Linked DNA regions of Bombyx mori. The main gene of each other region encodes a partner of the protein of the gene in region 2 in a complex. Links are inferred from orthologs where the notes say so. Each region holds a gene or a part of one and is shown on either strand. Other genes may lie near its edges.

What was found. Proteins that work in one complex are often made in the same cells at the same time.
Region 1: splicing factor 3B subunit 3 (region 2) and splicing factor 3A subunit 1 share a complex: the UniProt entries of both Homo sapiens proteins name them as parts of the 17S U2 SnRNP complex. The link is inferred for Bombyx mori from reciprocal best matches to the Homo sapiens genes SF3B3 and SF3A1.

The regions. Positions count from the first base shown.
Region 1 is NC_085112.1:2,362,137-2,365,795, reverse strand, and holds part of splicing factor 3A subunit 1, read right to left. Parts: coding exon of another isoform or gene 2,900-3,659; exon of another isoform or gene 2,218-2,899; coding exon 1,995-2,217; intron 1,596-1,994; coding exon 1,432-1,595; intron 370-1,431; coding exon 214-369; intron 9-213; coding exon 1-8. Other genes in the region: transmembrane protease serine 3-like, read right to left, coding at 2,900-3,659. UniProt on the Homo sapiens protein: Component of the 17S U2 SnRNP complex of the spliceosome, a large ribonucleoprotein complex that removes introns from transcribed pre-mRNAs.
Region 2 is NC_085117.1:14,815,406-14,819,684, forward strand, and holds the start of splicing factor 3B subunit 3, read right to left. Parts: upstream 2,947-4,279; 5' UTR 2,786-2,946; intron 2,529-2,785; 5' UTR 2,506-2,528; coding exon 2,280-2,505; intron 1,854-2,279; coding exon 1,683-1,853; intron 340-1,682; coding exon 145-339; intron 1-144. UniProt on the Homo sapiens protein: Component of the 17S U2 SnRNP complex of the spliceosome, a large ribonucleoprotein complex that removes introns from transcribed pre-mRNAs.

The sequences.
Region 1 (3,659 bases), on a different chromosome or scaffold from region 2:
AACAGACCCTGGAACAATACTTATATATTATCTGATGGAAGATTCTGCGAAGCACAGCTCTTGCTAGGGTTCGTGTTAGCAACAACGTCAGATTTGAGCCCCATGAGCTCACCTATTCGCCTGACGCTAATATGGTCTGTCAAAACCGGGGAAAAAATATGGCTAATCATTTGTTACGGTGAGCTATGCGAGTATTTGAGCGTGTCGGGATACCTCGTAGTGCAGCTTCTGCTTGGCGGTGGGCATGTTGGTGGCGCGCTGCAGCATGGCCTTGAGCTCGGCGACGGCGGCCGACAGCGGCAGCGTCAGCGGCACCGCGCGCCCGTCCAGCCGCCACTCCGCGCGCTCAGGCGCCGCCGGCAACGACACCTGCCGACACAAGGGACAAGGGCATTAGGGTACAATATCATACAATTAACATAATGCATTCCTGGTGGTAGGACGTCTTGTGAGTCCGCACGGGTAGGTACCACCACTCTAGGGCCCTGAAAACATCCTTGGGCCCGCAGTCTCGCAGTCGCGGACCAGTCCCACGTACCTACCCCGCGCGCCTCCTAAGCGCGGAGACCTCGTAGGAGGTACGGGTGCTTTTCAGTATATTATCAAAATAGCCCTTCTACTCATATCTGTTCATAAAATATTTATAACTATTGATACAGTGCGCCCCACGATTTTTTTACAATAATATAATTTTTTCTTAGACTATTTTTAATTAAAATTTATTTTCTATTTTTTTAGTTGAATTTTAATTTATTAATTTTTTTTTTCAATATTTCAAAACTTTCATCTGATACAGTCGGTAACTTATCCGAGAAATAGGTAATCAGCGGGCCTGGTGGTTTCCCATCTTGGTTTTGACGCAGACACTCAGGGTCTCAGGAAAACAAAAAATCGCTATTCCTGATTATCCTAGTAAGGATAACGAGTCTAATTGTTTAAAATATTGAATTTTAATCGGTCCTTAATAAGTATGCCAAATTTCGAATCAATCTGACGTTTTGAAGGGGGTCAAAATCATGTTCAAAGATTCCGTTACTTACTAACATACGTATGAAGCTAATAAAACCGTATTAAATTAGAGCACTTCTGTCTACATATTAATATTGGGGGTATATTAATAATACGCGCGGGTGGGTACCACCACCGTGCCTATTTCTGCCGTGAAGCAGTAATGCGTTTCGGTTTGAAGGGTGGGGCAGCCGTTGTAACTATACTTAGACCTTAGAACTTATATCTCAAGGTGGGTGGCGCATTTACGTTGTAGATGTATATGGGCTTCAGTAACCACTTAACATCAGGTCGGCTGTAAGCTCGTCCACCCCTCTGAGCAATAAAAAAAAATAAAAAAACACTGGACCGATTTTCTATTTGTTTGTAGTTGTAATGTTTGTTAGCGTAAGAGCAATCATTGTAGTGTTACTGGTAGCCCACCTGCAGGGGGACTGCGCCGGGGTGGCGCGCGAGCCAGGCGCCCTCGGGCTCCAGCGCGTCCTCGGTGCGGGCTCTCTTAGCGGCCGGGCCCTCGTCCTCGGGCTCCGCCACTGTGCCCGGAGGGACTACCGCTCCGAAGTTGAACGCCGGCGGTGGTACTGCACCTAAGGCGATGCAATCACATTATTGGTACAAAATGTACTGAGCGGATGTGTTATGCAAGAAGCACACACAATATTTGGATAGTTGCATGCATTACTGGCACGCGAATCTACAGCTCAACTGGCGTTAGGTGGGGTCCAACACACCGTGGGTGCACAGACCGAAGCCGATACTCACCGACCCACGATGGGTCGGTCCCCTGCACAGAACACTTTGACCATATGATCCCCTCACAGCGATCACATTCAGATGTCACTTTACTCTATCATTCCATCAACTCTTCCTCTAATCTGTAGCTTAACTCCCTAAGACTACATGTACATTGTCCGGCACCAGTAAATCAGGCACGCGATCTTAGCGCCATGTTGTACGGAATGTGTGCAGTGTTCGAGTATACGTACCCACTGGAGCCGGTATGAGCGGAGGTCGGGGCGCCATGGGGGGCAGGACCATTAGCGAGGACATCGGCTGCAGCAGCACAGGCGGTGCCGGGGGCGGGGGAGGCGGAGCAGCGCGGGGGGCAGAGGGGGGCGCGGGGGGACGCCCCGCCCGGCTCTGGGCTGCCCCGGTCACTGGCTTCGGACCTATTTTCTCTTTCTCCTCGTCGGGGAGTAGACCTTTAACCTGAATTGTAATCAATCGTAATGAGTATCTTAAACGAGTTTCGAAGAGAATGTTGCAATAGTATTTCTTATTATGCTCGTTAAAAAAGTGTATCTTCAAATAACCTAAGCTATTACGTCATGTTTACCATTATACAATTTCCTTACTATTTGGAAATGCAGTAAGAAGTTACTAAGGCGTATGTCGCAGAGAGCATGGAACAATTATTTGAACAAACTAATGGCCAACTCCAGGTCAACAGCTTCACGGAACCTATAAACATCAGATATAGTTCACCAAATGAATTCCATGAATTCCGCCACCTCCCTTTATTACAAGTGTTATGTATAGATATTAAATCGCATTATAAAATGGCGGGTAGATGCAAAAATAAACCAGTCTGCTTTGGAATCTTTCATTTGTGCATACACAACAGTATAAGCTAAGCAAGTAAAATAACGAGAAGATAAAACATTGATCCAACACAAGCCCGAAGCGTACAAAGTTAGTCAGTGTAAAATATCAATACTTTAGTGAGCAGGCTTAACTAAAGGCGGGTAATCATCAAGTTAACTGAGCATTTTTAATTGCTTTTAAAAGCTAAATACAAATAAAGCTCATAAACAAACACTTTTATTGAGAAAACAATACAAATTTCATCCGTTCACTGAAGCTTCTGACACCAATCTTACACTAGCTACTATTAGCTCTTGATATGAGTATGAATCCAATCTATATATGGCACAATTGAAGTCATTGTCTCAATTTGATAGGCCTGCTGTCTCTCATTGTTCTCCAAGCAGTCCCTCTTGCGTCCACTGGCCAGGAGTGCTATGACCCCGGTGCTGTGGATGGCTATACCTCCAGTTTCCTGGTGACAAGCGTCGGTCAACGAGCAGGACCGAGCCAAACACATCCCCGGATAAGTAACGGTGCCTTCACAAGTCTTCACCACAACCGATGAAATCTGTAGAGTTCTCTTCAATTTTCCACTGGTATCATTGGTCGACTTGAAGCCTATTAGCTCAACTTCGTAACCGTTCATAGAGAACATGTCAACGGCGCTCAATTTGGCGAACTGTTTAAGGGTGATGGGATCGGTGCGCAGAAGGCCGATGTCGTTGTGAAGCATTCTCGGTGACGCGGCATATCTGGGGTGGACTATTCCGGAAAGGATCGCGATGGCGGTGTCCTGGGAAGGTTTCTGCGTGAGTCCATAGTACACCACCCATGACATCTTCGGATCCTGGATTAGCAAGTCTTCGGTTTTGGAGACGCAGCGCGCGGTGGTCAGGGTCCAGGTCGGGGTCAGCACGCACCCCGAGCACAGCAGAGCGTTCGTCGTAGTATTCGTGAGTTTTAACTCGACCGTCACAACGTACGGGTACTCATCTTCTAAAGCATCTCTGCCTGTGCGCAGTGATTTCGTGCAAACCACAATATTTACAGTTTGCAAAACGAAA
Region 2 (4,279 bases):
GACGTCACTGTCAATCAGAAACACGGACCTCAGAATAATCATAGTATGTTTTGTAATTAGATAGTATGTTTAAATTATCACAAAAAGTATATGAAATTCTAAGCAAAACATGACAAGACATTCAATTAACAAATTACTACTAACCGGTAGGATCTGAATCAGCTTCTTCATAATCAATTTCCAAACATGCAAACATGGGATTTTCAAATCCAACATCAACACCAACCATGTGATAAACTAGTGTGTTTGACTTGTGAGCTTCAAGTGGTGAAGATATTGTTAGTCGAGCTTCTGCATCTCTATTCAAAATGTATACCAATTTCTGTTTTTCAATTGCACCTAAAATTTAAATAAACTTTGAGTACTGATTTTGTAAATTTCATTTGAGCAAATAAATTGGAATGTAATGAATTTAATATTGTACCATTCAAAGTACAAAAAGCAGTTTTATAAGATCAGACAGTGAAAATTGTTTTTTTTTTTTTATTGTATGGTATTGTAAATGACAGTATTTCAGAGATAACCAAAAGTTAGTGATTGACCAAGCATCATTGGAATTAAGATATTTATATCTTTTTACTGATGTTTTCAAAACAGTAAACCTGTTTTTCGATTTTAGAGTGAGATAATCACCTTAAAAAAAGACATGTGCGATTTTTGGTCTCAAATCAATGCATCACATGTGTGGCATAACTAGAGTCCCATTATTACTTATCTTAATAATTATATTTTCCAGTTTATTGGTTCACATCACCATAAATGCCAATAAAAATTTACAGTATACATTAAAAGGTACAAACAAATTAAATTACAAAAGGTCCAATTGAAATTGTATGCACAAACAGTGCTTAAGTAAACTTATACTAGTTTCCCTTCAATAAACCAAAATCAGAGAAAACAAATCTTACACCCGTATCTTTAGTCGTTTACACGAGCTTGACTCGACTCAACCTCCAACGCGCGTTTTGGTATGCTTAGTCGTAAAAATAAACTCCACTCAAACGTCCTTGGAAAATTTTCCTAATCGGAGTGAAGTAAGCGAACTGTCAAGTCAAGGTACGTCGCGACGTACCATGAACGTTCCTCAAGACTGGTTTTCTATCAATTTCCAAATAGTATGTGGACCGCAAATGGAAATATATGATATTGTTGTGCAATGGCCTGGATCTGTGCATGATTCGCACATATTTTGATAATTTTTATTAATAAAGTAAATAGTTCGAGGTTAGACTCTTGTTTAGACTAGTGGTTAGATATTTGAAACTCCTTATTTACCTACATAAGAGTCATATTTTGCTTACTACCTAATAAATAAAGTCAAGCTTGATCAAATTTTAATCATTATTACCTCACTCGAGGACAGTTGATGAATATTGTAATGGTCGACTAAAAATACCAAACTCGAGTAAGTTTGGGAGGAATGCTCGAGCATCATCGGATGAGTTAAGAGGACTATTTGACGAAACGTCTAAAGATACGGGCATTAGAATTTAATACTCCACGTTTTGTACCACTGAATATCAGCAACTCTGGCAGATTTTCGAGACGAGAAGAAAGTCTTATGGCTTTGTAGCAGTGCTAAAGGTTAATTGTAATTTTTAGTTGCAGCATTCCAAAACTACTCTTTTGGAACCCAAAACTAAAATTGATTCAAGAGGTAGGTATTATGAAAAAGTCCATACCAATCATAACAGCTCTTCCTTTAGGATCAATTGATAGATATTGACCAGGAACTATTCTCCTACAGCCAGATTTACCAAATGTTTCTTGATGGACTTTCTCCAAAATGTTCTTAGTTGGGATGTACTCCAAAATGATGATACGTCCAGAATCAGAACCAACCACAATGTAATCTGCAGAAAATTCTATATTTTAATGTTGTGTTCTATTGTTCGTAAGTTCAGGGTTAGGTATAACTTTGGAGATTTAGGTTATTTTTGCGTTTATAATGTGTGCAATAATCTATCATGTTAAGCATGCTACAAAGTCAAGAGTCATAAAAGTTCACATTATCTGTTAGGATTAGTTTGTTCCATTGCGGTACATCCCAACATTGAGAAAATGCAAGGAGCGACGCTTTGGCCATATTTTGTGCATCTAGTTATCCCATGTTCTTTGTGTTATAAAAAACATGGAGCAAGATGATGCAGTGTTATTTTCGATCTTATATAATGTAAAAATATTGGATTTGAGAGGAAATTCTGGGATTAAGATAATTTAAAAGAGATAAGCTACACAGTTCAATGGACCACATGGTCACATGGCCAAAGTTTACTTACCTTTTGTTCCTCCGGTTAGACGAAAAGCCATAATAGACCGAACTACACCAAATATTTCAATTTTCATTAATGTGTGGACCTTTCCCGTGTTCGGATCTGGCCGTAACAATTCAAGTGTTTTGCCACGTGATATAATAATCTCCTGTTGCTTAGTTCCAGAGAAATTTCCATGTACGGCATGTGTTATGGCAGATGAACCTTGCAGTGTTAAATTGTAGAGATACATCGTGATCTTATTTTAACCTATCCCTGAAAATAAATCGGGTTAGGTTAGTTAATTTATCTTTTCAAATAATTAAGCAACTGAAACAGAGGTGTGGAATTAAAATGTAGGGCTCGTAACTGACGAAAGCAGAAAGGATTTTGTGCTTTCGAATGGGTGAGCTTTCTGTTATAGCACCGAAAAAACGACCACGATTAATATATAATTTATCGTGGAGATACCTAGTGCAAATACAAATTGAAATGCATCATAGTCTAGCAAAACGAGAGAATTAAAAGATTACCTTTAAATATTAGCAATTGATGGCCGCAATGCGGCTCGATGCAGTATTTAATTTTCACGGGTGAACCGGCACAAGCAGTTGCCGGTAAAATGGCGGATTCAGAGCACGCCATTGAGCTTCGTTTTCACGGACCAATCAAATGAGAGGATTTTGCATCATGGCGTCGAGTTTTATAGAGGAATGTTGCCATATAAGAAATATTTTAGTAGCTGTTTTCTGCCATCTGTTGTTGGGTAGTGAAACTTGTAGCACAGGCTTTCAACGAATGAGCAACGGCTATTTTTTGTCAATAGATGTCCATTGCAGTCCACATAACATGCAATGAGATATTTAAATAGACAATAAAAATAACTTTAATTTACCTTAATAGATAATAAAGCTTCAATGTTAGTTCATTAATAACAAAAGTTTTATTAATAATAAAATCAAAATTAATTTAGTTAAAATACAGTTATATTAAATGTATTTACTTAAATTATTCGGAATTACACGTATTAAGACACATCTAATCTCACTAGAGATTTGATAAGGATCTCTCTCTCAAATTCTTCCTAGTTACAGACATCGAGCTCACCGCTCACTTTGTGTTAAATTGTTACGTGAAAAAAGGGCCAAATCATAAAGTGAATGCAATGCAACGTGCTTCCAACGTAATTATTTCCGACTGATTTTGAAAGGTCGTCGGAGATATACAATGTCCTGACTAAGGCCTCGGTTCAGTAATCTCGGTAGAGTTCCTCGGTAGGGCGGCAGTAGACAAATCTCCCTATCCGTTCTGCTTTTTGATAGCTGAGCGAATACGCAATTATTTTTTTCTGTCTGCCCAGTGAGCGCCTGTCAGTCCAAAGGTGAGGCACCCTGCTGTCTTCTTGAGAATTGGCGAATAGGCTGTACATCTTCTAGAGTCCTTAAGCCTAATGGAAAATTGTATTGTTTTTCTGTAACTGTAACTGTACCTTTTCTGTACCTTTGGTCATATAAATATATAATTATGTATTTATTTAGGTACCGCCAGAGCGTTTTCTGAACGGAATTAAGGATAGATTTTATTGTGATTTGTACATCATGTACGAAGGTGGGCGAGGGAATCGATTTATCTTAACACCAAGTGGTCCGTTACTCCGATGATCAATCTATTTTAAAAAAAAAAACAAGTAGAATCGCTGCGTGCATAATGGTTTGCAAGGCCATAATTGTGCTATGTGTTGTCCCTGCATTATGTTTTGTATCTTTTATTTTATTAATGCCGTTTGGCAGACGAGCTCAAAACTCTACCTGCTGTTGAGGAATTACCGAGCAGACATCTCAACCTAGATCCCGTCATCCACATGAACATTATAAGCTGATCACCCAATCGCATAATATCTGTCGCACACCCATGTACATGCGGTTGGTTTGTGATAATTTTTTTACAGTATGTAATAATATTGGTACAGCCTTTTAATATGTATCGTAATTATTACAAGTAACGTGAATTTATAATGTTGGCAGATA